Elephas maximus indicus: one gene and its partners. The protein of the gene in region 1 purifies or fractionates together with the protein of each later gene. This does not show direct contact. Links are inferred from orthologs where the notes say so. Each region holds a gene or a part of one and is shown on either strand. Other genes may lie near its edges.

What was found.
Region 2: the proteins of PABPC4 (region 1) and PAIP1 purify together in Homo sapiens (co-immunoprecipitation; 3 studies listed by BioGRID and IntAct, with this or other methods). This does not show direct contact. The link is inferred for Elephas maximus indicus from reciprocal best matches to the Homo sapiens genes PABPC4 and PAIP1.
Region 3: the proteins of PABPC4 (region 1) and LARP1 purify together in Homo sapiens (affinity purification with mass spectrometry; 3 studies listed by BioGRID and IntAct, with this or other methods). This does not show direct contact. The link is inferred for Elephas maximus indicus from reciprocal best matches to the Homo sapiens genes PABPC4 and LARP1.
Region 4: the proteins of PABPC4 (region 1) and ATXN2 purify together in Homo sapiens (affinity purification with mass spectrometry; 4 studies listed by BioGRID and IntAct, with this or other methods). This does not show direct contact. The link is inferred for Elephas maximus indicus from reciprocal best matches to the Homo sapiens genes PABPC4 and ATXN2.

The regions. Positions count from the first base shown.
Region 1 is NC_064821.1:81,201,568-81,209,687, forward strand, and holds the start of PABPC4 (polyadenylate-binding protein 4), read right to left. Parts: upstream 3,194-8,120; 5' UTR 2,154-3,193; coding exon 1,961-2,153; intron 1-1,960.
Region 2 is NC_064820.1:49,996,061-50,003,298, forward strand, and holds the start of PAIP1 (polyadenylate-binding protein-interacting protein 1), read right to left. Parts: upstream 3,044-7,238; 5' UTR 2,795-3,043; coding exon 2,527-2,794; intron 1,950-2,526; coding exon 1,780-1,949; intron 1-1,779. UniProt on the Homo sapiens protein: Acts as a coactivator in the regulation of translation initiation of poly(A)-containing mRNAs. Its stimulatory activity on translation is mediated via its action on PABPC1. Competes with PAIP2 for binding to PABPC1.
Region 3 is NC_064820.1:170,907,640-170,915,462, reverse strand, and holds the start of LARP1 (la-related protein 1), read right to left. Parts: upstream 3,232-7,823; 5' UTR 2,946-3,231; coding exon 2,504-2,945; intron 1-2,503. UniProt on the Homo sapiens protein: RNA-binding protein that regulates the translation of specific target mRNA species downstream of the mTORC1 complex, in function of growth signals and nutrient availability.
Region 4 is NC_064840.1:9,932,603-9,939,741, forward strand, and holds the start of ATXN2 (ataxin-2), read right to left. Parts: upstream 3,071-7,139; 5' UTR 2,985-3,070; coding exon 2,797-2,984; intron 1-2,796. UniProt on the Homo sapiens protein: Involved in EGFR trafficking, acting as negative regulator of endocytic EGFR internalization at the plasma membrane.

The DNA of each region.
Region 1 (8,120 bases):
CTTGGAAACCTTATGGGGCAGTTCTACTGGTCTATAGGGTCACTATGAGTTGGAATTGACTTGACAGCAGTGGATCTGGTCTGGACTGCTCAGCTGAACAGTAACCTGAGCTCTATGCAATTCCAGGATTTCAACTGCCCAGGTGCCCAATCACACTTCAGTTCGTCATCCAGTGCCTTGGGACCTTTCCTCAGTTTGGCAACCAAGTCGATGTTTGCACCATGGAGACCATGTAAAGGACCAGAAGTAAAAATAAGCTGCCAGCCAGGAACACTTTTCTTCACTGGCAGCAACAAGGACACCCAGACCTGATTTACAGTACAACCTCACAGCAGTGACTTCACTAATGCAATGACATCACCTAGAACTTCCTCCCTGAGGGGATTCAGACAGGGCTAGAGTGAGGGAGCTTTCTCCTGTCTTGCAGAATCAACTCCCTAATTTCTCCCCTCCAGAAGTTCAGCGTCCAGCCAGCCAAAGGAGTGTCTTCTTTTCCCTCGTTATTTCCAACCACACTCTTCAGTTAAGGCATGGAAAAGGGAGACAAAGGACAGGAAACGTCCAGGTACAGGAGAGTCGGCTGCGAGGATTATGTGAAACCCATGCCTGGGACTCATTTCTACACGACTCCTCTCTATTTCACGTGAGCACTGCAGAAGGCAAGTCGGCTTAGTCTGACAAATCTGGCTGTCTTATTTATAGCAGGGAGAGGTCCTGCAGAGGTATGTGTTGGCAGACACACTGACCAATGGCTTCTGCTACTATCTCTAAGTGACAGTACTTTTGTTCAGAAGAGCCAAGAAGGCAGGCCACGGCTAGTGAATGTACCCACTACCCCTCCCCCAGAAAGGCCACACTGAGCTACCTTCTTTGTGCTCCTGTGGCCCCAGACAGAACTCAGCTCAGAAGGCAAGTCCAATTCCCCCGTCTCAGCTGCATCCTGGGCAAGTTACACTCTCTGCCTCGTGAACAGTGAACCAAGGAGGGACTCTGCCACAGAACAGTTCATTTCTCTCTGTAATGGTCTCTGCAGTTGTTCCCTCTTAGTCTGGAGTCACGTGCAGCCCCTGATTAGGTTTCCTCTTGTCTCACTCCTGCCAGCCTGCAGCATACCTCTCCACTGCTCCAATCTGGGGCAGGCAGAGCACTGCACTGGGAGTCCCAACTTAGCCTCCAATTGCTGATCCTTTTCCTTCACAGAAGTCCTATTTCCTTCAGATGGCATGAAGTGGAAGTGTCAATCACTGTGCAGAGGGAAGGTGATAATGCTCACCAGCCCCAGCCCCCAGCCCAGTGAAACTTCAGGTGGCACTTTCCCAGACTAACTGGTCACCATTGTGGGCAAAGAACTCTTCCACCTCAGTGGCAAACATGCAGACTGGGGAGCTGACCTGGCACTGGCTGCACATGCAACTCTGGGGACACTAATACAAATCCCCACACAGAACTGCTCCCTGGCTTTCTATCTGCCCTGAAGAGCCCTTATCGGCCAAAACTCAAAGGATTCAGGCCAGGTCAAGGGAGGAGGAGAGGCCAGCAGTTCTGCAACCTCAAGTTTTTGCAGGGAATTGTATTTCAATCGCCCTGCTTTTTTGGTGGGCATGTGAGGGGCACAAGCCCATAGTCACTGACCAGGCAGATGCTTTAACAGTCCAGTCCCACTGAGCAGAACCACACACACAGTAGAGTGACAGTGGCTTCACTCTTTATGCAGTCTTCCTGGGTTCCAACCCTACCTCCACAACTTATTAGCCCAAGGTCACCCAGTTAGCAAGTGATACTAGGAACTCCACCCATAAGATGACAGGCTCCGCGTTCTTAACCCTTACAGGAGGCTCCCACTACTGGCTTTTGGGGCAACATGCTGCCTTGATGCCCCTCTCCGTGGAGGTAGGGACTTGCCTAGATAAGTCCCAGGGTTCCCTGAGGTCCCAATTTTGTAGGCATAGCTTCTACTTACCGTCAGCCGGCTGCTGGAAGTTGACGTAGGCATAACCCAGGGAGCGGCGGGTGATCATATCGCGGCAGACCCGGATGGACAGCACAGGCCCCGCAGGACTGAACTTTTCATACAGCATGGCCTCGGTGACGTCCGAGTGCAGGTCACCCACGTACAGGGAGGCCATGGGGTAGCTGCTGGCTGCAGCGTTCATCTCCCCGCCCCCCACCACACCGAGCCCCGCCAGGAGGACTTCTTCTAGGGATCACCACAGCACAAAAGGGGCTCTTCTCGGAGCCGTGGCTCGCGCGGCGGCTCACAGGTGGCAACAGTGAAGCCAAGGGGCGTTGGAGTAGGCTCAGATACACAGAAGACGGAAAACAGGAGTTCAGGGACAGCTCATAGAAGACTCTGCAAAACCTCAGACAAAAGGCGCTCAAAACAATATGGCCCTCCCTGGGAGTTTGTAATTTGCAGCTGTCCTGGTTTGAACCTCCAAATTTCAAAAAAAAATATTAAAATGGGGAATCCCCTTCCAAATTCTAAAAATTCTTCAAGAGGCAACCAAATGCTGCCCACAGCGGCCTTCGGGAGACGCGTTTCTCTATAAATATAGGCCCCGGGCTCCTGGCGGTTTAGGATTACAACAGCCAGGAGAAGAGGGAAACAAAATATTTGTCGGTGCCGACTCGGCAAGCCCCAGGCGGGCGTGCGTGCGCGCGCGCAGCCGCCTCCCACGCCGGGCTCCGCGAAGGGCAGCGCGGACACGTGGTGCGCCGGGGAGGCCGGCCCGCGGGGGGCGAGGGCTGCCGGCGGGGCCGGGCGGGCGCCGAGGTTGCCACGCGGCGCGCGCGGACGGGCAGGGCCGGGCGGCGGGCAGCACGGACGGACGCGCGAGGGTCAGAGCGCAGGCGCGTGGACGAGGGCAGGCCCGGGCAGGCGGCGGGCAGGCGGGCACGGGCTGCTCACCACGGGACCGACAGACGGAGGCGGACAGACGCCAAAGTGCGGCGGCGGGCGAGGGGCAGGCCGGAAGCGTGCAAAAGTGACTTCCCTGCGGGTGCTCCGAGGAAGATTCGCGTATTCTTTTTTTTTTAAGATTTTTAAAGCGTTTCCGTTTTTTTTTTTTTTTTTATCTTTTTTTCTTCAGGCTACTGGGCCCGAAAACAACGTAGACAGCGGCGACCCGGGGCGGAGAGAGGCGGCCAGCGGAGCCACCGCTCCATTTATACCCGCCCGCCCCGGGCGCTGCTGGTCGAAGGGCGCCTCGCGACCTGGGCGCAGCCGTGCCCGCCCACTCGGCCCGGGGGCCCGAGGCGGGGCGGCCACGCGAGAGCGACCCGGCGGCCGCGCGGCGCCACAGCGGCCCCTAGCGCGTGGAGGACCGCTCCCGCTCCGAGCTTTCACCAACCCCAAGGGCAACTTTTCATAATAAATAGATTATAGCCCCTCTCCACATCATCCGGGAATGGAATCCATAGATAATTTAACCACCCATGCGCATAACGTTTAAAAATCAATGTATTGCCTAATTGCGAAATTAAGAAGAAATAACAATTTATAATTTAAAAAATAGGTTCAATATGTAAATGTTTGGTCCAGAATACATGAGAATATATACTGAGTTCTCATAATTCTAGGACTTAAATGTAGAGTCGTTGGCAATGCTACAGCTAGAAAGACTTGCTTCCATGGGTGGTGTGATTTTCTGAAAAGAACAAGCTTTAGTACAGCGTCAATAAGACAAAACTCAATCACTCTTTGATTTACGTGGTAGTGGCGTGTCTGAAAATTTAGTTTACATTTAAGAGTGCAAAAATACTTTCTCTGTAAAAGAGGTTAGTATCTAGACTTAGATAATTATAAAAAGACTTTTCATCTGCATGAGGGTCTGTTAGGTCATTGAAAAATCATGTGGGATATGGAACGATTCTGCATCATGTGATACTGTCCCCATGCATTGCAAGCTACAGTGAAACCTGTGAGATCCAGAACTCGATGGAACTGCCTTGTTTTTATGAGTCTCACAAGCTTTCCACCTTTGACAGGGTGCAGTCTTACCACTTTTTTATTGCTCTCTGTTAGTGGAAAATATTTGAGTTTTCCTTCTCTGACAGGTGTCTGCCGTACACAGGTTCTGACTTTCGCAGGCTTTACTGTATATAGCAACCATTCCTCCATAAGTACAGGGAACTCCTTTCCCCATCATTATGACAACCAAAAACAGAAATTATCAGTAGGTGCACACACTCTTGCATTGAAAATGTAAGTCAATGAATATGTAAGATGAATGTAAACTGATGTAAGTAAAGAAATGAAAAAAACATATATACTCATTTGTTCAAATAAATAGTTAATCATGGCCTTGTCTATGCCAATGCTGGAGATAGGTGCTGGGGGATACCATGGGAGTCAGGGCAGTGGGAGTCCCTCTCTTCCTCATGGAGTTTATATTCTAGTGTATTAAATCAAGAAACATTTATGAAGTGCTCCTTCTGTAGATAGGTACTGTCCTTAGCAAAGCCTTCCCAGACCACCCAGTCTACAGTAGCCTACCACTGTCATCTATGACACTATCCCGTTGGCCTGTTTTCAAGGCATTTATTGTTGTTAGTTAGGTGCTGTTGAGTTGATTTTCAACTCTTAGTGACTCCATGTGACAAAGTGCTGGGTAAGTTCAAACCCCCAACCTTTTGGCTAGCAGCAGAGCACCTAACTGTTGTGCCACCAGAGCTTATTAAGGCTCTTATCGGTTGTTGTTGTGTACCACTGAGTTGATTCTGAGTCATAGTGACCCTACATGACAATGCAGAACTGCCCAATACGGTTTCCTAGGCTGTACTAATCTTTACAGGAGCAAGTCTTTTCTCCTGAGAAGCTGCTGGTATGTTCAAGCCAAGGACCTTTTGGTTAGCAGCCAAGTGCTTAACCATTGTGCCACCAGGGCTCCTTATAAGGCTTTTGTTATTATGTAAAATAACATTGTTTATATATGTTCTTACCTGTTCAGTGTCTGTCTTTCCTCCAGTGTATACAAGCTTCATGATAGCAGGGACCTAGAACAATGCCTAGCATGGCACATACTAAGTGTTCAATAAATATTTGTTGAGTAAACAAATGAATTCTAGGTACTAGTGAGCAAGAGAGAAACAGTCCTTGCCCTCCTGAAGCTTACTCTCTAGTAGGGGAACTTACTACGTGTATGACATTGAGCAAGCTCATTCACATCTCTGACCCTCAGATTCCTAGTCTGTAAGTATACTAATAAAGGTATTCACTTGATGGAGTTATGAGAATAAGCTAACATATATAAGTCGCTCGTGTAAATGTTAATTGTTATTATTATCAAGTTGCATGTGTGCTGACAGTGGAGTTACTTAAGTGAAGACCCTGAGTGGAGGAGTATTGCTGGAACAAGGGAGCAAGACTGTGGTGTTGTGGGAGGCAGGAAGGACAACCAGCTCTTGGAGGACTTGAAACACTTAGGACTTTATCCTGAGATTGGAGGATAGAGCTGAATATTGTAAGCAGGGCAGTACCTTGGTTCAAATTGTATTTTTTAAAGAATATCTCTGGCTGTACCCCGGATTTCCCGTGTCCATTCAACCAGCTCCTGTCCCTTTATGCCTTTTCATCTCGCCTATCAGTCTCATGTATCTACGTGAACTACGAAGCACGCACCTCACGAGTATCATTTTAAGTCTTATAGTCCAGTTTAGTCTTTGTCTGAAGAGTCAGCTTTGGGAATGGTTTTAGTTCTGGGTTAACAGAGAGCCTGGGGGCCCTGTCTTCTGGGGTTCCTCCTCTCAGTCAGACCAGTAAGTCTGGTCTTTTACTAGAATTTGAGTTCTGTACCCCACTTTTCTCCTGCTCCATCAGGGACTCTCTGTTGTGTTCCCTGTCAGGGCAGTCATTGGTGGTAGCCAGGTACCATCTAGTTCTTCTGGTCTCAGGATGATGGCATCTCTGGCTTATGTGGCCCTTTTTGTCTCTTTGTGCAGCCAAGAATTTTGCAGTACAGTGGAATTGTAAAAGCTCTGGCTACTGGATTCATTTGTTTGTTCACTCATTCAACAAACTTTATGTGGTTCATACAGAGAGCCAGGCTCTGCTATGGGTGCTGTGGACAGAACCATGAGCTAAACAATCACAGAACAACTTGACCTTATTGAGGACAGCGATAAGAACCAAGTAAATAAATGACTGTGTGTGTAACTTGTGCAAAGTGCTTTTAATCAAGAGACTGTCTAGAGGTAAGAGCAGGTGAAACCCAGCCCATCCTCCCAGCAGGAGATCGAGTCTACCTACAAAAGCTCTATTTTCTATAAGCAACAATGGCCCTGACCCTCAGGAAGGAAGACCCTTCCTTGCCCACAGACAGGTCTTTGAGATCCTAGAGGGTTAGTCCAGGAAATAAGACAGGCTGCACAACTTTGGCAAGTGGTTGTCACATCTCTGAGCCTCCCCGATCTGCATGACAGGCTCGGTAAATCCTTTTTAGGAGAGGGGCCAACTGACACAAAAAGGATTGTATCAGAATACTATGAAAAATTATACTCCAACAAATTTGAAAACCTAGAGGAAATGGACAAAGTCCTAGAAACACATTACCTACCTAAACTAACACAAACCAAGATAGAAAATCTAAACAGATCCATTAACAAAAGAAGAAATTGAAGAGGTTATTAAAAAAAAAAAAGAAAAAAAACCTACCAAAAAAAAAGCCCTGGCTTGGATGGGTTCATTGGAGAATTCTATCAAACATTCGGTAAGAGTTGACACCAGTACTAGTGAAACTATTCCAGAACATAGAAAAGGAAGGGATACTTCGGAATTCATTTTATGAAGCCAAAGCCAGGCAAAGACACCACTAAAAAAGAAATTTATAGACCAATATCCCTCATGAACATTGACACAAAAATTCTCAACAAAATTCTAGCCAATAGAATCCAAGAGCACACAAAAAATAATACATCATGACCAAGTGGGATTCATACCACATATGCAAGGATGGTTCAACATCAGAAAATCAATCACTATAATCCACCACATAAATAAAACAAAGGAAAAGAATCACATGATCACCTCAATCAATGCAGAAAAGGCATTTGATAGAGTCCAACACCTATTCCTAATGAAAACTCTCACCAAAAAAGGAATAGAAGGGAAATTCTTCAACATGATTAAGGGCATACACACATAAACAGCCAACATTATTCTCAATGGAGACTGAAAGCATTCCCCCTAAGAATGGGAACCAGACAAGGAAGCCCTTTATCACCACTCTTATTCAACATTGAATTGGAAGTCCTAACTAGAGCTGTAAGACAAGAAAGGGAAATAAAGGGCATCCAAGTTGGTAAGGAAGAAGTAAAACTATCCCTAGTCACAGATGACATGATCCTACAATAGAAAATCCCAAAGAATCCACAAGAAAGCTACTGGAACTAATAGAAGGATTCAGTAAAGTGGCAGGGTACAAGATTAACATACAAAAATCAGTTGGATTCCTTTACACTAACAAAGAGAACTCCAAAAATGGAATAACTTTTACGATAGCCCCCCAAAAGATAAAATACTTAGGAATAAACCTAGCTAGGGACATAAAAGACTTATATGAAGAAAACTACAAAATGTTACCGCAAGAAACCAAAAGAGACCTTCATAAATGGAAAAACATACCACGTTCATGGTCAGGAAGACTTAACATTGTGAAAATGTGAATACCACCCAAGGCAATCTATCTAAAAAAAAAAAAAAAGCCTGTTGCCATTGAGTCAATTCTGACTCATAGCAACCCTATAGGACAGAGCAGAACTGCCCCATAGGGTTTCCAAAGAGTGCCTGGTGGATTCAAGCTGCTGGCCTTTTGGTTAGCAGCCATAGCTTTTAACCACTACACCACCAGTGTTTCTAAGCCATCTACTGATACAATGAAATCCTGATCCAGATTTCAACAACAATCTTTAATGAGATGGAAAAACTAATCACCATCTTTATATGGAAAGGAAACAGACACCAGATAAGTAAAACACTACTGGAAAAGAAGAGCAGTGTAGGAGGCCTCACACACTACCAATCTCATGAACCTACTGTACAGCCACGGTAGTCAAAACAGCCTGGTACTGGCACAACAACAGACACATACATCAACGGAACAGAATTGAGAACCCAGAAATAA
Region 2 (7,238 bases), on another chromosome or scaffold:
AACAACAGAAAATTCAAAGTACTAAAGAGGAAGTAAACAACTGCAAATCACACATACTCAGAGTGTGTACTGGAATAATCTCTATGTAAAAACTATAGTATTTGGTAGGTAGTCTCTAAGTTCCTTTGAAGCGAGGATGGCACAACTTCCTCTCACATACTTTGGACATGTTATCATGAGGGACCAGTTCCGGGAGAAGGACATCATGCTCGGTAAGTAGAAGGGCAACAAAAAAGAGAAAGATTCTCAATGAAATGGACTGACACAGTGGCTACAACAATGGGCTCAGACATAGCAACAATTGTGAGAGTGGCACAGGGCCAGGTGGTATTCATTCTGTTGTATATAGGGTCGCTATGAGTTGGAATCGACTCAACAACACCTAACAACTAAAGCTGGGCATAGTGCTACCCCGTGACCCAGCAATTCCACTTCTAGGTATATAAAAAAAAAAATGGAAATAAGGGCATATGTCCGCCAGGGCATGAGTAGGAATAGCAGCACTAATCGTAACGGCCCCCAAACTAGAAGCTGGCTAAATGTTCATCAACAGACAAATGGATAGACTGTGGCATATTCATTCAATAAAATGCTATGAGGCTAAACCACCTAATTACATGCTACAAAATGAGTAACAAAAAGAATATATACTGTATGTTCCCATTTATGTAAAGTTTGAGAGCAGCAAAACTAATCTGTTCTATTAAGTCAAAATAGCAGTTACACTTGGAGAATGGTAGTCATTACCAGGGGGCTTCTGAGGTGCTGGTAACATTCTGCTTCATGATTTGGATGCTGGTTACCCAGGTGCTCACTTGGTGAAACTTTGAGCTATACCCTATACACTCTATTCTATAGTTTTATATGTTAAAAACTCTGACCCTTTGGTTAGCAGCTGTAGCACTTAACCACTATGCCACCAAGGTTTCCATTCTATATGTTATACACTTCAATAAATTTAAGAAGATATGAAAAATAGGAATTATGCTATAGTATTATCGATTATTTCTTCAACTTAGGAGCATGGTTCCTGCCCCACTTAATTTCTCCTCATTTACTCATTTTGGTTTACTTAGCATGACGGATTCCTTTCTACATATTCCAAACTGGGCTTTGTGCTTTCTTCTGCTGTTTAGAAAAAGTTTGACCATTTGTAAAAAAATTCTTACACTGTCAAAGGTTAATCTGAATGTTTAAAAATTCTTTATATCTATTTAAACTTTATCAAAAACCCATGCGACATTTCTGCATACAATAGGTATGTAGCACCAGAAACACTTCCATTTTAAGATGACAGAATAATAATTACTAAAAACAAGGACCCAGATGTGTACTTCTCACCCATATGTGCACTTCTTCACATTCAAAAGCCTACCTCAAAATTAACTTAAGCAAAGCCACTATTTAATTTATCCTAAAGCCACTAGTAAATATTCACTTATCTTACAAAAATCAAATTAAAAATCAACTTTGTCAGGCTACTATCTTGTAGTTGTCCATAAGTCTGGAAACGGATTCTAGTTTTACAGATTGACAATTTCCTTGACATCAATTAGGTTTACTTGCCTATGCTGGCAAAACAGCACTGAACAAAACCACAAAAAAGTCCTATTGTCAAGCTTACATTCTGAGACCATGAATATAATAACTACAAAGTTTTGTTTCCTCATGAATTCATAATAAAGCTACGTAAAATACAAAAAGCACCAACATACCGGTTAATAATCACATTATTCCAGTTAATGTTAACCCCGAGTTTTAGTAAAAAGGAGTACTTACTGTATAATTAGAAGAATAACCTGATGGGTAAAATTCTGGGGCGTTCACAGACAGCTTGGACATTAACACAGGAGCTACAACCACCTGGGGTTTGGCCATTGCTGACTCTGAATTCTGCTGTGGGATTTTATCCTGTGAACTAGGTGGAGCTCTCAGGGGCCTCGCTTGTTCTGAGAAGATAAAAAGGAGTGTTAGATTCGTTCATTCTTTTGTGTAATGACTTTGTATATACTAAAAAGTCATCTCTTTTAACTCTTTAAGAGTTTAAAAATCATCACGAAATGTAAGGTCATCTCCGGGATACTCACAAAGAGCCTGCAAAAAGGAACAATAGACTTGGCTGTAGCTCATTTATGAGCGTTACCTGCCTCCCAAATGAATGCTTGAGGGTTTTGGTTTTTCTTTTATTTAGGAGCCGTTTCAAATGCAGTGGTAGCTCGGCTTACGTCTTACTTTAGAGGACCGGGCAGGGGGAGGCAATTTTTATTTCCTCCCCTGGGTGGCAGAACTCCGAGACCGCGCACCGGCCCCTCCCCCAGCCGGGGCGCACAAAGGATTCCAGTGGCCACCTTCCAAAGCCCCGTCCCGCGCCCATCCCCACCCCGTAACACCCGGGCCCCTCGGGGGATGCTTTCGGGGAATTGGGGGGAGGGGGTGGAAGGAGAGTCCGCCGGCCCTCGGCGAGCGCAAGGCCCGTGGGGAGGCGTTGGCCCGGGAGGACGGGGTTTCCCTAGAGCTCCTCCGTACCTGGGAGCGCCCCGGGCCGGGGAGGCCGCTGGGGGCCGGTGGGGCCCTCGCACTGGGCCCCAAGCGGCGGAGCCGTCCTGGGCTGGCGCAGCGGCGGCGGCTGCAGGAAGCCCGGGGCTTTGGGCTGCGGCGGCGGCTGCTGGCGCGGCCGCTCTGCAGGCCCGGTTCCGTTCGGGAAACTGCCGCCCTCAGGCCCGCCCCCTCCGCGGCCCAGGCCCCGGCTCCGGCCCCGACCAGCACCTGGGGCCCGATCGAAACCGTCCGACATGCTCCTCCTCCTTCCGGAGCCGCTGCCGCTGCGCTCGGAAGAGGCCGCGGGGGAAAGCAGCGCAGGCCGGCTCTTGCCGCTGCGCTTCACTCGGGCCTCATGGAGGAGGAGGGCGGCGGGCCCCGGCTCCGCTCCTGCGCGCTTCAGGCGGAACGGACGGCAGGCTGAGCACCCGCGACTCCACAGCGCCCGCCCCCCAGAGCTACCCTCTGCTTTTATTCTCCCCTAAAATCCGGCGCCACCGCCTTCGGCGCGGCGGGGGCGAGGCGGGTCACAGCGGCCCCCCGCGGTCCGGAGGCCCCGGGGCGCGCCCGCTGCGATTCCTACTGTCCCGCAGGGCAGGCTGCTGCGGTCCAGCAGGCTGCCCGGCCAGCGGCGTCTCGGCCGCAGGACGTCCCTGCTGGGCAGCGGGGACCGGGCGGAGGCATCTCGACTCCCGGGGCCCGGCTCGGGGGGGAGATGGGGACGCTTACCCCAGTTAGGCCCGATCTATTCGATGGTTCTCAGGAGACAAGTGCGAGACTGACGGTTGATGCCAGGAAAATAAAAATACGGGGGGAGGGGGTGTGGCCCCGGCGCCAGGGTTCGCGGACGCGCACCACCGTGGGCGCGCAGGTGTGTTCAATGACCAGGCTCCCGCCGAGAGCCCAGGACTGGCAGGGAAGCCGAGCTCCGGAAGAAGCTCTGCCACCTGCTTCGTTAGCAGCGGGGGAGGGGACTAGTACGTTCAAAATACGCCCCCTACCCTTTTCAGTTCCCGTTAGGTACTTACCTCCGGAAGGGAACCCTGGTGGCTCAGCGGTAAAACGCTGGGCTGCTAACTGAAAGGTGGGCGGTTCGAAGCCACCAGCCGCTCTGTGGAAGAAAAAAATGTAGCAGTCGGCTTCTGTGAAGATTTACAGCCTTGGAAAACCCTACGGGGCAGGCCTCCGCTTCCTTACAGGGCCAGAATGGATTGGGCCGCGGAGGATTTGGTTTGGTTTGTCACAAGCTTCAATATCTTCCCTTTTCTCTGCCCCTCCAGAAATTTTCAGAAAATACACTACCGTTGAATGAAACTCTTCCTTCTTTTTATATGCTACCAATGTTGTCCGATAGGCATATAATGCAAGCCATTTGTGTAGTTTTACATTTTCTAGAAGCCACAAGCAAACAAGCAAAAACAAACAGGTGAAATTAATTTTAATAATAAATTTTAACCCAGTATATCAAAGATATTATCATTTCAACATGTAACACTAATGAAATGTTCTTACTAATTGAAACCATATGTGTATTTGGACTAGCGTCCTTTCAAGTGCTCAGTAACACGTGACTAGTGGCTACTGCATTGAACAGCGCAGTTCTAGGTATTTAAGTGTAAAATGATATTTTTGTCAGGCCTGATGGTGCTAAAGCCAAATGAAGGGTTAAGTAATGACAAAAAAAAAGGGGGGGGGAATCCATTTTCCTTCTGTTGGATTATCCACCTCCACAAATTCTAATCGTTGCCTTGTATTTTAAGCATAAACTGTAATACTCTTTACAGGACAGAGAGATTGATTAGGAAGAGAAATAGAAAAACCCTGGTGGCGTAGTGGTTAAGTGCTATGGCTGCTACCAAAGGGTCACCACTTTGAATCTACCAGGTGCTCCTTGGAAACTCTAAGGGGCAGTTCTACTCTGTCCTGTAGGGTTGCTATGAGTCAGAAGCTGGGTTTGGTTTTTTGGAATGATGTTTTTCAGTCTTTTCATTTGACAATGATTCCAATTAGGAACAAAAAATTATGTTAACCACTTTCTGTTCTTGCTAATAAAAAAAATTAAAGTCTTGATCTAAATGAATGAGAAGAATGGCTTTAATGAGGATAATTGTGAGTAAATTAGTCATGCTGTTAATGTTAGCCCAAAATAATGAAGTCAGGGAAGGAAGGCAGTATGTGGTTTGTAGGTTTTAAAGTCTGCTGCAGCTTCAGATGAATCTGGGTCTTGACCATTACTGGCTGTGTGATCTTGGGTAAGGGATTTAGCTTCTGTAAGCTGGTTTCCCCATCTGTAAAATAACTATCTTATAGCACTGAGCATGTATTACAAATGCTAGACTGACAAGCTTACAATTTTAAAATTACATGACTTGATGCTCAAAGTACTTTAACATCCATTATTTTATATGGTCGTCAGTCTCTTCTTGCCTGGACTTCTGTGTTACAAAGGAAAGACTCAAGCTGTATGCTCAAAAAGAGTGAGCAAACGAGCATCACACAACACTCAAGCCACCACAGACAGATGGGTGGTGACTGTGCCTTGATACTCCTTAGAAGTGAGAATGGCAAAACGTTGTCTCTCGTACTTTGAACATGTTATCAGGATTCAAACTTGGATCTTACTCGTGGAAGGCGACAATTCTAACACTGAATCACCACTTACTGAATGTTTATTGTTGTGTGTCAGGCACTGTTCCAAGAGCTTTATTTGTATTATTTCATTTAATCCTCACACTCTGTGAAGTAGACTTTCTGATTATCCCCGTTTTACAGAAGAAGTACCAAGATATCATGAAGCTCAAATCCACCTGCAGACTGATATAGGGCTGACTAGCAGGTGTTAGGTATTGCAAAATGCCAAGAGGCCACACACACAGACACATTAAAAAAATATAAGCACTGTATGGAATCCCCTGAAGAGAATCATCAAAAGATCTCCTCCCCTACCTTTATGTCTTTCTTATTAATGTGTAGTGAATAGGAAGAATAAATTCAGAGAGTTCGGAAAATATATTGTAAAATGGGAACAGGACCACTGTCAACTATGGGAAAGATTTCCTTCTTTCAGCTGGTCATGAAATGTTGCTCTGCCTACTTCCGCGAGGAGGTCTATGAAATTTTCCAATTCCCGAAGCCAGATTTGTCTCTGCCTTTACCGCTCTGGAGGCTTTGACTTTTAAGAGAAGAACTGGTAGTATTAATACTTTAACTTATCCTCCATTCAGCTGCTGGATGATCTTTCTACAAATCATATCTGATTATGTCACTTCACTGCTAGAAATCTTTCAATAGCTCCCCATAGCTTTCAGAATGAAGTGAAACCCTTACACCCAGAACAAGACCTTTGCCTTTCTCTCTAGCTTAATCATGTGTCACTCCCTCACATATTCTCCCCCTACCTCCTTTTAGCAATGCTTGCTAAACTATCCTCATGTCCGTAGCTATTTCATGCCTTCATGATTTTTATAAATGCACCTTGCTGCCTGGGAAATCTTACCTCTTTCACCTCTTAACCTATCGGGCTCCACTTAAGTGTCCTCCTGGAAGCTTTCCTCAAGCAGCCCAATCTTAGATTCCCTCTTTTTTGATACTAGCACCCTGGACAAACTCTGTCTTAGCACTTAGTATACTGGATTGTTAATATTTGGCTTACATAACGAGGTCAGAGAATGCCTTTTAATCTCTATGCCCTCATATCCTAGCCCAGTACTTGGAACATAACAGCTTTTAACTGTAGTAGGACCCACTTGCGAAAGTCCTGACTTGACTTGGTTTACCAGTATAGTGAAGGTAGAAGGAAGACTGGTTTTCAGAAACCTAGGAGAACTTAAAGTGACTTCAGGATTAAATCTTGTAGGATTAGACAGTGCAGCCTTATAAGTCCAAAAGGTGTGAGAAAGTTTTCATACAATAAATATGGAGTAAAAATATTTGCAAACAACATATTCAACAGGACATATCTGGAGCATATCAAGAACTTTCAAAACTCAACAGTAAAAAAAAAATTAAATTTGAAAATGGGCAAAACACATGAACAACCATTTCACTGAAGAGAACATACAGGTGGCATTTAAGCCCATGAAAAAAAATTTAACATCATTAGGGATTAGGAAAATAAAAATGAAAACCACAATGAGACTTCACTACTCAACTATCAGAATGGCTAAAATAAAAAATAATAACACCAAATGATTTCAAGAATGTGGAGAAACTGGATCACTCATACATAGCCGGTGGGGATGAAAAATGATACTATCACTCTGAAAAACTGTTTGGCAGCCTCTTAAAAATACTAAACATACAATTACCATATGACCCAGTGATTGTACTCCTGGGCATTTATCAGGAGTATTTAGGTTCACACAAAAACCTATACACAAGCGTTTATAGCAGCTTTATTCATAATATCCAAAGACTGGAAACAGCCCAGATGTCCTTCAAATGGATGATTACACTGTGATACATCTATACCATGGGCTACTACTCAGCAAGAAAAAGGAACAAATTGATAGAAACAACAACTTGGATGGATCTCAAGGGAATTATAGTGAGTGAAAAAAGAGCCAATCTCGAAAGATTAAGTACTGTATGATTACATTTCTTAATAATATCCTTGAAATGAAAAAAATTCTAAAAATAGAGAACAGATTAATGATTGCCACCGGTGAAGGACAGAGTGGCGTTGAGAGGGAAGTAGGTCT
Region 3 (7,823 bases), on another chromosome or scaffold:
CTTATGAGGCATTCACTTCTGTAGACTACTAACACATGCATCACAGAACACAGAAATTCACAAGACCACACAGCCACTCCACTGGTGTCACATTTAAACTTGTCCAGGCTACAAATAAAATGAAGGCTGGAAAAAGGGCCTTAGAGGTCCATGTAGACTCCAGAGAAAGCCACCATCCAATCACCCAACAGACAGTCCAATCACAGAATTTTCTCTTAAAAAGCACCCAAGCCCTAACAACAGGCTTAAAACAGAGAGGCTACTGGATTAATTTGGAGTTAATCTGTCAAACACTACCCCAAAGGTACAAGATCAACACTCTTGCCTTAAAGTTCCAGGAAGACAAGAACACGGCAAATCTACCCCACTCAGAACTGTGCTCTGGGTACTTCAAACAAGTCTGCTCTTCCACTCAGAGGGGAAAGCAAGATGCCAACCAAGTTGTCTTCTTCCCACAATCAATAATCCCAGTGACCTATCAAGGGCCCCTGGACTTACACAAAATGCCAGCTCAGGCACTCAATACCACCTTATATCACGGCTGATTTAAAAGCCACAAGGCAGATTCACCATTAGCTAAGCAGCAGCCCGAGGTGAGAAGCCCAATTTAAACTTCTGAAGAGTGCTCTCTCTCCTGGGGATGATTATACCCCTTTGAGTTTAAGGTGGGGGGGGGGGCGCGGGGAGGGACCAAAGAGTGTCTTAAAGTTGCTCTCCCTCCCTCTGTGGGTGGATCAGGGAAGGATTTGTAAGAAAATGGAGGTTTCAGCACTGCCCTTTGCATAAGAGGGTTCTAGAAGGGGCATGGGGGAAGAGGAGGAGGGCAAAAGGAAGAGAACATGGTTTGAGGCATTATTAGTAAACCCTAAATGTCCCCTCCCCTAAATGAAGCAACCTTGAAAAAAATAAAAATTGCAACATGCCATTTTCAGGTTTGGTTATCATAATTTCCCTAAGACTAAAGGAGTGATCTTACTCCCTTTGATATGAAGGCATAAAGCTCCCCCTTCAACTTTCCCCGTTTTGATCTTCTAAACCATACTGCCTCAGCCAGCACTCTGAAACGGAGTTTTGAAAGAACACTAGGGCTAAGGCCACAGGCCATCATTCTAACTGCAAACAAGGTATTAACACTGGCCCACATCAAAAGGGCCCAGAATTAAAGAATCGAGGCCCACTGTGCCCCCCGAGTCCCAGCAAAGCGGGGACGGGAAGTGCGCCCCATTCAAGCTGAAGATCTATTCCCGGTAAAAGGAGGCCAAAAGCAAGCTCCATATTCTGCACCGCTTCTCTCCTCACGCTGACGAGGCTCTGCTGGGATTTCCTGCACACTCCTCTGAAAGGACAGTGTCCAAAAAGAAAAAAATAAAAGGGAGGTGGAAGGATAGACTCGGGGTGCGCCCGGGGCCCCAGCTTCGGGGCCCCAGCTCCGGGAGCGCCGGCCGCCGGTCACATGCCGCTCCCCGCGCGGGGAGGCACCACGTTGTCCCGGCTGCGGAGGAATGCCGGGAAGGGGGAGACGCGCACTTACACTCGCGCACACGCACACTACAGGACGCGCCGCGCCGGCGGCCCGCACCCGCCAGTCACCCGGAGCGCGACGACCCGCGCGGAACGCAGAGGCCGTGCGGCCGCAAGCAGCCCGCGAGTCGCGGGCGAGGCGCATGGCGCCCAACTGTCACCCGCCCGCCCAGCCCGGCCACTCCCTCCCCCGCCGCCGCAAGCCCCTCGTGTCGCCGCGTGCCCCTCACTCGTCTCACATTTTCCGCCAACCCCCTAAACGGATCCCCCCGCATTTGCCATCGGCTCCCTCTCAAGGCGGAAGGCCCCTGGGATCCGAGAGGGAAACTACCGAAGTCAGTGACACGTTGGGTTTCCTCGTCGCCCCATTCTCCCTGTAACTGACCCCTCAACCCGTCTCCAAATGGCGGTTCTACCGCCTACTATCATCTACTCGAAAACAAAACTTGTTAACTTTTAAATCTCGAATCCCTATACTCGGTGTGAACTCATCGCTGAGTGCTTTGCTGCCCATGACATATGCTCATTAAACATTTACAACATGGGGACTATTGCAACGCTACCAAAACGGGGAGCGTGGGGCGGAGTGAGAAGAGGGGGCTTCCCGAGTAAGGGAGGTTTAAACCAGAAACCGCCTTTTACACCAACATGCGATGGGGAAAACAGGGCCATTTTCACCGAAGCCAGCGCCCACCCTCTCCCGGTGAGGTAGGCCCGGACCACGCCGTTGCCCACTAACCGCTGCGGCCCAGGCGGTGTCCGTGGCCTCCGGGAGGCCGGGCCTCAGGCAGGAACAGGTTCCCGAGTGTGCGGCGGGAGCAGGGCACCACGACCCGAACGAGGCGTGAGACAATTCAAATAAAAAAAAACGAGGCACCACGACTCGTGGCGGACCCCCGGGCCCTGGAAACCGCTGGGGGAGGGGACGCCAATGTCCCCGGAAGAGGCCCCCGGACCCAGAATAGCAGGCTGGGAGACCCACCTGGAGGGGACTGTCCGTTCACCGTGGCCAGGGCCTGCGGCAGCGCGTTCTTAGTCCACGGGTTCACCTTGGGCGGGGGGGCCTCCACGAAGTCTCGCCGTCCGCCGCCGCCCGCGGCTCCGGTTGCTCCTCCGCCAGCGCCCGGCTCGCCGCCGCCGCCCTCCTCCCCGTCGCTGACGGCCGGGCCTTCGGCGCCTAGCGGCTGCAGCGGCCGCAGATTCTCGCGCTCCTGCTGCCCGGTGCCCTCCTTGTACGGCTTGGCGCAGGGCGGCCGGGGTCTCCGGGTGCCTCCGTCCGGCTCCCCCACTCCGACGTCGTTGGCGCCAGGCTCGCCCTTGCCCTCGGGCGGCGGCGGCAGCTTCTTCCTCACCAGCCCCCCGTGCTCTTCGGCCTGCAAGAGCTGGGCGCCCCCCGGCAACAGCGGCTCCACCTGAGTGGCCATCTGCGCGCCCGCCCCCCCGGAGAAGCCGGGCGCGCCCGAGGCTGCCTCCCCCGCCTCGAACTTGGCTCGCAGAACGCCCGCGACTCCTTCCTCCGGGGCGCTGGGCCCCAGTCCCTGCAGAAAAGGGTCGGGGTTCACGCTAGGCGCGGCCCCCCCTTCCGGTCGGATGCGGCCGCCGTAGATCCAAGGCCCGCTGGCGGGGCGGGGGGGGTGGGGGAAGGAGTGCCCCCCACTCTGCGGTCCAGGCCGCCTCGGCGCACGTCCCCCCCCCGCCCGTTCCTCGTAAGGCGCCCCCACCCCAAGCTCAGCGGGCTTCTCGTCCCGTCCCTCCCTCCCCCCCGCCCCCGGGGCGGCCCGGGCTTCCCGGCTCGGGGGCTGCAGCAATATGGACGGACGGGGGAGAGGCGCGGCGAGCCAAGCAGACCACGCGATCCGCGGCAGGCGGCGGGCGGGCGCGCGCCTCGCGGCGCGGCGGGCGAGGGGAGGGGACAACGCAGCGGGAGCGCGCCCGCCGAGGCCAGCCCTTGGCGACGGGCCGGCGGAGGCGACGGGAGCGCGCGCGCGAACGGCCTCGCGTCCCCGCCCCTCGTCCTGCCCCGCCCCTCGCCTCCAAGTCCTCCGTGCACCTCCCTGGCTGGGGTGGGGGCGCTCAGACAGGACGGGGGCGAGCACGTGCCTGATGCAATTCGGTAGAGGGGGGCGCATCCAGGGGGGGTAGGAGAGACGGGGGAGAGAACACGGAGGACTCTTAAAGGGCCAGCGCGTGAGAGAGGCCGCAGGTGGAGCACATGCGAATGGGCCACGCGGCCGGCTCGGCCTGCTCTCGTTCTTTAGGTTGGGTGTCAGATTCGGGGGAAGGAGCCATAAAAGTCACCCCCGCCTCCCAGGATGCTGGTAGAGGGTCCGCATCCTCCCAAAAGTCGCGCCTACACCGCCCCCTCTCCGCATCCCTCTATCCTGGCCTTTCCAGGCCCCGCATGGGTGACCTTGGGCAAACCGCTTTCAACTCCACCGGCTGCGCTGGGTTTCTCCCCTCCAGGCTGACCCGGACGTTGCCGGGGGACCGGGTTCGACTCCAGGCCCGGCAGGCGGGCCCTTGCCCTTGGGCGCTTCGGGTGCCTAGGATGTGGGAGTGGAATTACCAAGGTCCTCACTCCAGTCAAGCCTCTGAGTATTTGTGAGCAGGAAACAGCTTTTCTTTCTAGTGGATTGTGGTTTCTACATAGTTGCTTTGGGAGGAGTTGAACTAGTGCCGATTCGAGACTCTAGGGATTGAAATTTTGTCCTGGTCTTGCCTCTTATGAACTCTGCCAGTCAGTTTCCCCCACCGTAGGCCTCAGTTTCCCTATTGTAAAATGAAGAAATGGTCTATGACAGTGGTTTCATGCTTTAGTGTATATTCAATTCAGTTAATATTTATTCACTCCGTGCTCTGGGTGTCTCTACAGTGCTAGGAAACAGGGTTTGGTAATAAACCAGGCTAACAAGGTCCCTGGCCTCATGGAGCAATTTACATTCTAAACGTGGGGAAAGACAAAAATGATAAACAAGTTCCTGTGTAGAATTAATGCATAAACTGTAGTAATAGGCTAGAACAGATTTGTCCTTCTAGTTTGATGAGGGAACACCTCCCTGAACACAGGTTCCAAAGTGTTTAGAAAAATCAGGCATGGTCTGGAATTGAACCCAGAAATCTGTTTGTCTAACATAATACCCTTAGAACTTCTACACCAGGTGGTCCCATGCCTCACTTGGAGAAGTTGTGTCCTGTGCATTCTGAGGGTGGTCCAGGTTTAACAGAGCTGAGATCTACCTACTTAAGACATAAAAGCCAGGAATGTTGATCTCCAAAATAAGAACACATGACCTGCTGGACAGGGGAGAGGATTTATCAGAGAAGACTCTTGTAACTGCTCCACCTGGGAAGTCTCGGTTGTACATTGTAACCAGGAGTACTGGGGAGAAGTGCTGGTGGGGATAGCCAAGCTCTCCCATAACTTAGCACCTGCCTTCACTTGCTCTGTACATTTGCCTGGAGCCCCCTTTCCTGGCGTAAAAATTGTAATACATAATGCCTGATTTGTTCTCACCCTGTGGGCTTTTTTGAGGAAGCAAATGAAATGCTTCAAAAAGAGGTACCAAGGAAGGTAAGGATTAAAGGGATCACAATCTAAGCACATTCTTCAAAATTGTGTTATATCTACCCTTAATCCTTCCACCACCCACTGCTGTCAAGTCGATTCCGACTCATAGTCTACCCTTAATAAACAAAAAAAAAAAACAAACCCAGTGCCATCGAGTCGATTCCAACTCATAGCGACCCTATAGGACAGAGTAGAACTGCCCCATAGAGTTTCCAAGGAGGCCTGGTGGATTTGAACTGCCTTCCTTTTGGTTAGCAGCCGTAGCACTTAACCACTACTCCACCAGAGTTTCCCTACCCTTATTTATTGATAAATATTTCCTGAAAAAAATTATTCACTCAAAACCTCTCTGAACTTTGTAAAAAGGAACATAGTCATCGTTGTTGGCTCTTTCTTCCAACATTTCTGTAGTTGGTCATGGATGGCCCCCAAACAACTTGTAAGGGGGCCAGGTCTCTGTGTGGACAAGTAACTGGTTCATGCTACCCAGCAGTCAGAGTTGGAGCCAAACAAGCACTGCCAGACCCTGTTATGTAGAGACTGGAAGGGCACAGAGATCCATACACCCCCAGGCTTGCCCCAGAGAGGGGCCCTTAAACACCGATGCGCCATTTTACAGATGGGCAAACTGGGCCCAGAAAAGGCAAGATACCTACATGAGACTACATCTTGAATTTAGAGGCTGTTAGAGGAGGAGTCTTAATGATTGCTTAATGTCTTTGTTTTGCAGTTGAGGAGACTGAAGTTCAGAGAAATGAAGCTACTTATCCAAGCTCACACAGCTAGTCAGTGGCAGAGCCAGGCCTTACACCCAAATCTCTTGATCCTAAGTCACGGAGCTGTTCTACACAAAATGATGGAATTGGGGTTTGAATTCAGGTGATTTGATTCCTGGCCCATTATGTCATTCCATGAGTGCATTCATTTCTAAATATTAATAATGACCAAATAATTAAGAGTGTTAACAAATGGGTAAGCACTGCATTACCAGCTGACAACTTGGTTATTCAAAGACACCCATAGGTGCCTTGGAAGTAAGGCCTGGTGATCTGCTTCCAAAAGGTCAAAGCCTTGAAAACCCTATGACGTACACAGTTCTCGGAATGCAAGTGGTCGCCGTGAATCAGAATAAACTTGATGGCAACTAACGACTTATATTGAACAATTACTATATGGCATGTTCTGTGAGAAATACTTGATATTCATTATCTCATTTAATCCTCACAGTTACCTAATGTTATAAAATTGTGCCCCTCAAAAATACGTGTTGGATGAGACTAAATGGGTAGCTCCTGTCCAGAGGTGAGATGAGAAGGCAGAAAGAGATAGGAGCTGGTTGAATGGACACAGGAAATCAGGGGTGGAAAGGAGGAGTGTGCTGTTACATTACAGAGATAGCAACTAGGGTCACATAGCAATGTATGTATACATTTTTGTATGAGAAACTAACTTGAGCTGTAAACTTTCACCTAAAGCACAATTAAAAAAAAAATATGTGTTGGAATCCTGACCACTGTGCTTGTAATCCTGTTTGGGAATAGGGTTTTCTTTGTTATGTTAATAAGGCCCTATCAGTGTAGGGTGTGTCCTAAAAGTAATCACTTCTGAGTTATAAAAATAGCAGAGTAGACACAAGCAGGCAAAAAGGGGAAAGGAAAATGCCACTTGGAGATCATCAAGGAACAGAAGCTGAAAGAGGCAAAGATGTTCCCTCAGAACAACAGAAAGAGAGCCTTCCCCTAGATCCAGTGCACTGAATTTGGACTTATACCCTCTAAAACTGCCAGAAAATACATTTTTGTTCATTAAAACCACCCACTTGTGGTATTTCTATTACAGCAGCACTAAAAAACTAAGATACTTAATGAGATAGGCATTAATTATTGCAAAGTATCTTTTTTTTTTTTTTTAATCTATTGAGCCTCTACTAGGTGTCAGGCACCAGGCCAGCCCCTGGAGCTGTTATTATCTTCAGTTACAATGGAAGGCCACTGAAGTTCATAAAAGAAAGTGAGAAGGGTGCCTGGTTACAGCTAGCAGCTGAGTATCGGAGTAAGGTTTTTCCAGGGCGGTTTAACTCCCCTGGTCTTGTTCTTACCCACAACACCACACTACCTCCCTTCCCTCTACTGTCACATCCACAAGTATTTATGAAGTCATTAACTACTCAGGCCTGGGGAAGATACTAAAAAGTCGAATGCTGTCTCTCTAAAAGGTAAACTCTAACTGGGGGGACTTAAGTAATTAAGCAATATGTGACCTCAGGCCAGAAAAAGGTAAGATAAGATATGCTTTAGACAGAAAGTGACAAGGAAACAAGTTGGCTTGTGGCCAGGACTTAAAAAACAATGACAAAATCAAACCAAAAAAATAAAAATGATAAAGTGGGTCCAAATACCTACTTGTAATTAATTGTGTGCTTCTTTGCCCCTAGTGTAGACAATTTCCTGAGGAGAAACAGAGGAGGCCAAATGAGGGACTAGAGAGCTGGGAGAACTGGTTTATAACCTGGGCCCCATTTCTTGGTTTGCTGAATGACTTTGAGCAGCCTCCTGAGTCTTCATTTCTCCATCCACAGAACGGGATGCATAATACCTGCTCATCCGGCTTATGGGTGTGAAGAAAGATGCAAGTGCTCTTTAATCTATAAAACATTATTCTGTCTTTTTATGAGGGGGAGAGATGGTCCCTTGAGTTATTTCATTTAATCCTTACTAACCCAGCCCAACCCAGT
Region 4 (7,139 bases), on another chromosome or scaffold:
TTCTAAAGAAGATCCACCTTCTCTGCACTGGAAATTAATACAAATCTTCTGAGGAGCAATTCGGCAGTGAGCAAGAGCCGTAAAAATCTTGAAGCCCTTTGACCTCGTAATGTCACTCCTGGGAACTTTCTCAAAGGAAATAACTACACTGAAGCAAAAAAGCTTTAGTGTAAAGATGTTCACTGCACAATTATCTATAATAACAAAAAAGCGGAAACCCAAATGCCAACAATACGAGTAGAAACCATATATACATATCAATACTAACGAAAAAAAAAGCTAAATACAAATAACATGCAATCAGCAATGCAAGAACATAAAAATACATTGATAAGAACTGAAGAATAAAAGGCAAAAATAAAAATTGGGTTAAAATAAATTACTTTCCAATTTTAATATTGTAGCTACATTGTTCTTTCCTTAAAAAAAAAAAAAATCCACCTTCTCAAAAGTATGTGAAAAAGACAGAACAAATCATTTTGTAAAGGCCATAAAAATCCACTATTCACCAAAAAAGTAAAAATCAAATCTGATGATATGTTATGCTATTTAAAACAGACATGAATTTCAAAGCTTTGAAGAATATTTTGCTCCTTTTAACCATGTCAAACCCAATGATGCTTTTTTTCTTTGCCTTTACCCCTGCTCAGAAACTTATTTTACCACTGATGCATTCAAATGTTAAGTGAGGAGATTCTAGATATTGTAACTGGTTTACAAAGAACCCAGTAAAGGTGATTCATAAAAGCAACTCTACAAGTACATTAACTAAAGATGTGCTCAAGAGTAAAATTTCACATTATGTGAATTTCACATTAAACAAAACTTTGCATATTTAGGAAAAAGAATAAAGGCTACAATTTATACCTCAAATAAAAGGATTTAAAGCAAGGAAGAAATTAACTCTAAGTTTTTATGAAGCCTTAAGGAACAGAAAAAGATCTGTACTACTAAAACATTTCAGCTATCTTTGACCATTCAAACTACTCTGAATAATGTAATGCTTAAGCCTAGGGAGGGCAAATGCAATTTAAAACCTTTAGTTTTAATTTTTAATTATTTGAACAAGGTATCTGTCATATTTCTACCTTTAAAACCTAAAAAGAAAAAAAAAAAAAGCACCCTCTTCTATAAAACTGTATCTTTTAAATGTTTTCCACTATCATTGCCACTGAAAAAGGGAAACTTGAAGTTACAGAATGCTAAGTGTATAGAGCTGCAGAAACTATCATTCATTTGAACTTGTTGGGCTAGGCAGCATTGGTGGGTGCTTCAGAGAAGGGGAAACCGTGGGACTGTGGGGAGGAGAAGCCAAAAAAGTGACTGTCCCCCCTCTGAAGGGAGAATTCCTTAAAAACCAGCTCTGAATCATCTGGATAGGTAAAGTTCGCCTGCTGTAAACGAGTATTTACATTTCGCTGAAAATTTGTTTTCAAAAAGAAAACTCAGTGTATGAAAAACTCCCTTAGCCCACCTTTGAAAGACCAGTATGTCTATTTAAGGAGGACAATGGTCACTGGCCTTGCCAGTTCTGCCTAGGCCTAAGGGAGGCATGGCAGTGCCTGCACCACGGAGGGGCCCGGGGCACAGGGGAAATGGACTTGTGTGCCCTTGGTAAGCTCTGGCGGCACTCCCCAAGTTAAGGACACCGGCCACAATGGAATGGAGTCTATTGACATTTGCTGCCCAGTTTGAACACTAAGCATTTTCTTACTTCATGAAATACGAACTGACAGCCACCCCCCACCCCCAACAGGCCTTCCCACGCAAACACGCCCTCCAGAGTCAAAGCCAGTTCGCTGAAAGCACACCGAGCCCCCGGGCCCCCACCACAAGCCTGAGTTAGGGGGAGGGGGCGGGGGTCGCAAGTAAACACCCGCATTTCTGCTTCAGGAGCCCTTCATGCCCCCGCGGCAATTCCTCTTCCCTCGAAATTCCGGCGACTGAAGCGGGGGTAGTGAGAAAATGCGCAGCGGCCCGCTTCCCGCAGCGGCCCGGCGGGGCCCGGCCCTCGCCCACCCTGTTCAAAGGCGCCTGCTCCTCGGCGGCCTCCGACAGCAATGCGGCTGGGCCGCCACCCGGCAGGAGAGGCCTTGCGGGGAGGGCCGTCCCACCCCTGCCCCAGGTAGGGGACGGAGGACGCTGCCCGGGACGGCCCGGAGCCCCACGATCGCAGGTTTCAATGGGGAGGGGGCGGGAGGCCACTGCCCACCCCTCCGCCCCGTCCTTCGACCGTCTCCAGGCCAGGGAAGAGGGGCGTCAAGGGAGACCGGACAGACCCCAGCGATCCCAGATGCGCCCTTCAACAGGAGGGGACGCTGTCCAATCCCCCCTCCCCCGAAATTCCCCACTGGTGGAGAAGACATGTTTCGGGAGCTCCAGGACCCCGCCAACATCAACATTTAAACTAGGGGTGGGGGTGCTGCCCAAGCACCCCCCCCCACGAGGAGAGGGAGGCGTAGAGAAGGCGGAACCGGGGCTGACAATTGCGGAGACCTGTGAACCCCCCCGAGCGTGGAAACCGAGAGAAGGCGGCTGCCCGGTCCTTCCATCTTGACCGTTTGGGGAAGGGGGTGGGGATGGTGCAAGAGACTGGACGCGGCCTGACAATCGCCGAGAAGCCCCGTGGGAGCCTCCAGCCCCTCGGCTCCAGCCCGAGAGGCCCCCGCCCCCACCGCGGGCCCCCAGCCCACCCCCCGGGCCCCGCCGGTCACGGGAGGAAAGGCGCCGCGGGGGAGGGGACTCGAGGCCCGGCCGTCCAGGCCCGGGCAGAGGGGGCTCGGCGCCGACACCCACCTGCCCAGGCCAGGCCGCCCGCCGCCCGCCGCCGCCGCCGCCGAGGAGGACGCAGCGGCTGAGGACGCGGTGGCTGAGGACGAGGACGAGGACGGCGCCGGCGCGGCGGCGGACGACGTGAGGAGGCCGCCGGGCTTGCGGGCATTGGCGGCCGCGGTCTGCTGCTGCTGCTGGGGCTTCAGCGACATGGTGAGGGGCCCATACACCGGCCCGCACGCCGGGCGGGGACAGCCGGGAGCCGGGCGCGCCGAGGAGACGCCGGAGCGCGGCGGGGACGCGCGGGCGCGGAGCGAGGAGGCGCGGGCTGGCGCGGCCGGGGGGGCGCCGGGGCCGGCGAGAGGGAGGAGGACGACGACGAAGGGGCGGGGAGGCCCGCTGAGACCGATGAGCCGCCGGGAGCCGAGCCGGGCCGCGCCACCGCCGTTGCCGTTGCTACCAAAACAGTCTGAGGCGGAGGGAGGCGAGCGCTGCCCGGAGGGAGGGGGGCCGGGGCCGGGCGGAGGAGGGGCGGCGGAGGGATACGGGGCCGCGCCGCCACCGCCCCGCCCGCGCCGCCGCGCCGGCCGCGGGAGCGAGCACCGCCCCGGCCACCTGACCGCGGCGAAACGGCGAGGCTCGACGGCCGCCGCGGGGCTCCGAGTTGTTGCGGCTGCCGACCGCATCCGAGGCCGGGCACGCCGAGACACTGGGTGGCGGTGCCGGGTGGGCGCGGAGGTGCGGAGCTGGGGACTCTTTACCGGAAGTCGGAAGGGTCGGGCGGAAGCACTCCGTGAGACGACCGGGGACCGGGAGGGACACGTGAGGAGCGGGCGCTGCGCTGGGGCGCGTTTGCGAGGGTCGGGTGAGGGCCCGGCGTCCGGCCCTGCCTGGGTCCGCCCTCCTCGAGGCGGGTCTGGCCTCCTGCGAGGGCGTGTCGGTCTTCGCCTGCTGGGTCGGCCTAGTGCAGGGGACAGGAGGAAAGTGGCCCCCTCCTCCCGAGTGTTCCTCCAACGTCCTCAGACTCCTTGGAGGAGCCCTGTGGGCCCCCACCTGATGCAACCTAGAAAATGGGCTTGCGAGCGCCTGCAGGGCGGAGACTGTCGTGCTACGTAGAAAGCACCTCGAACAGTGCCTGGCACACAGTAGGCCCTCAAGTGGCACTGGGTGGCCCAAAGGCAGGCCGCGCTCACTTTCCCTGCCAAGACTAACTAATGGGGTTGGAGCAACCTCTTGGGGCCACCCACATCTGGTTACCTTTTCCCCACTTTTTCCACTCCAGCAACACGGTAACCAGAAAACTCTTTTGGGTACCTGACCTTCGTCTGAACCCATTTTTTACCCCTCACTTGAACTTCGTTTCCTCCATTCATAAGACTCAAAAGGAAATGTACGTGATTTGGTAGCGCTATGGATAATAGGGTCTCCTTCAGTGGAGACAGAACAGACCTCACAAGAATGTGCGAACTTTAGACATTGGCCCCTTTAGAAGTTTTACTTTAACTTAGGGCGCCAGCCAGCACAGTAGTCAGTTCTTTACATATGTTGCAATTAAGCTGGAAGCAAGTAGATAACGACTTCCCCCCCCCCCCCCCCAGTGAAGAATCTAGTTTGTTTAAAAGTGAAATTATTTCAGGAAATGACAGGGGAAAAAAGCAACAAAATTCCCCTCTGTCTCCTAGAGTTGTCCAGATAAAGAGAAAGATATGGAAAAACTTGGGGGAATGATTAAGCCAGGTATCTCTAATAGCCAAAATGAAATTAATCTCCTAGATAGTCCAGGTAAAAATGATCCTTGTATTCCACAAACATTTGAAAACTAGGAAGTCAGCTCCCCCTCCCCCCCACCCCATTTAAGCTATTCCTTTAAACCAACAGTTACAAATCCTTTAAAAATTAACCCAAAGAAATTGAGAATAAAATACCAGATGGAAAAAGAAAGAACCACAATAGTGATACAATCAACTTTCGTTGATTTAATTATTTGACAGCAATATATGGGACTAAGTTCTCAGAATTCAATCTTAGCATCAGACTCCTGGCAGACGGAAAGAAAAAGGGAAGTAGAATAAGAAGGCCTGAAGCTGACATAGCTGAACTTGATTTCATGTAGGCTGAGAGAGCTCAAGTTCCCATCCATTATCAGTGCAATTTTTGCAATGGCTTCCTTGAGGTATAATTTACATAATATAAAATTCACCCATTTTAAGTGTCTGATTTTTTTACTTTTAGTAAATTTACAGACCTGTGCAATCATCACCACTGATTTCGGAGCATTTCCATCACCCCAAAAAGATCCCTCAAAGCCATTTGCAGTTACTCTCCATCTCCACCCCCAGGCCCAGACGACGACTAACCTACTTTCTGTTTCTATGGATGTCCCTATTGTGGACATTTTATATAAATGGAATCTCAACAGTATGCAGTCGTTAGTTTCTGGATTCTTTCACTTACAATGTTTCTGAAGTTCAGCCCTGTTGCAGCATGTATCAGTACTCTTTTTTTTTATTGCTGAGTAGTATTCCATTGCATGAATGAACCATATTTTGTACATCTATCCATCTACCAACTGGTGGACATTTAGATTGCTTCTAGTTTTTGGCTATTAGGAATAATGCCTCTAGGAACATTTATGAACATATTTCTTTGTGTGGACATATGTTTTCATTTCTCTTGGGTAGAGTTTTAGGAATGGAATTGCTGGGTGGTTTTTTTTTTTTCATGGTAAATTATAGGGTCCCTACGAGTCGGAACCAACTCGATGGCAATGGACTTGGGTTTTTGGTTATGGTACATTTATATTTAACTTCTTAAAGATACTTTTTGGAAAGATATTTTCCAAACTGGCTGTACCACTTTGCATTAACACCAGGAAGATATGAGAGTTTATCATCAAAATGTGATATTCTGCTTCAGCTTCTGTGGGAAAAAGTTTGGTGGTTCCTCAAAGAGGTAAATAAAGAATTAGCAAATAATTCAGCAATAATTCACTCCCAGGTGTACCCAAAAGTATTGAAAATAGGAACACAAAAAGGCACTTGTGCACCAATGTTGAGTTAAGCGTTGTTCACAATAGCCAAAAAGTGGATCAACAAATATCCATCAACAGATAAATGGATAAACAAAATGTGGTACATACATAAACAATGAAATAATAATCAGCTATAAGAAGAAATGAAGTCTGCAATATGGATGAACCTTGAAAACATGCTGAGGGACGTAAGTCAGACACAAAAGAATAAATATTGTATGATTCCACTTATATGAAATATCTAGAATAGGCAAGTGTATAGAGAGACCAGAGTTTACTAGTGGTTACTAGAGGCAAATGAGCAGGAGGGAGGAGGAAAGGGGGACTGTCATGGATTGAAATGAGTCCTCCAAAATGTGTTTATCAACTTGGTTAGGCCATGATTCCCGGTATTCTCTGGTTGTCCTCCATTTTGTGACTGTAATTTTATGTTAAAAGGATTAGGGTGGGATTGTAACACCACCCTTACCCAAGTCACCTCCCTGATCCAATGTAAGGGGAGTTTCCCTGAGGTGTGGCCTGTACCACCTTTTATCTCAAGAGAGAGAAAAAGGAAAGGGAAGCAAGCAGAGAGTTGGGGACCTCATACCACCAAGAAAGGAACACTGGGAGCAGAGCACATCCTTTGGACCAAGGGTCCCTGCACCTGAGAAGCTACTCTACCAGGGGAATATTGAGGACAAGGACCTTCCTCCAGAGCTGACAAAGAGAGAAAGCCTTCCCCTGGAGCTAACATCCTGAATTTGGACTTGTAACCTACTAGACTGTGAGAGAATAAATTTCTCTTTGTTAAAGCCACCCACTTGTGGTATTTCTGTTATAGCAGCAGTAGATGACTAGCACAGGGACTCATTGCTTAGGGGCCACCAAACTTTTATTAAAGGTAATGAAAAATTTGGAAATGGATAGTCATAAGGGTTGAACAAAGATGACTGTGATTAATTTCACGAACTGTACATGTAAAAAATGCTGACATGGCCAGCGTTTTGTTACATATATGTTTAACACAATTTAAAAATTTGATTTCTGCTTTTATATTCAAATGGAAACCAAAAGAATCTCTACTGTCAACTCTAGTTTATACCTTCTCCTTTTTCTTTGTGGACAGAGGATCACCACCCAAAACCAAGGTATCTCTCTTACTGCAAATTGTTTGCCTGAATTCCAGACCTCTGAAAACATGGTTATTTAACAGCAACTGTGATGTCAGAAAGCTTTAGCTTAGGTCAGGGTATTGCTCCTTAAAGTGGTGTGGTAGGCAGCCTCTAAGATGGCCCTAAATGAACCTTTGCCTCCTGTTTTCATACTGTGAAATCCCCACCACTTCAGTATCAGC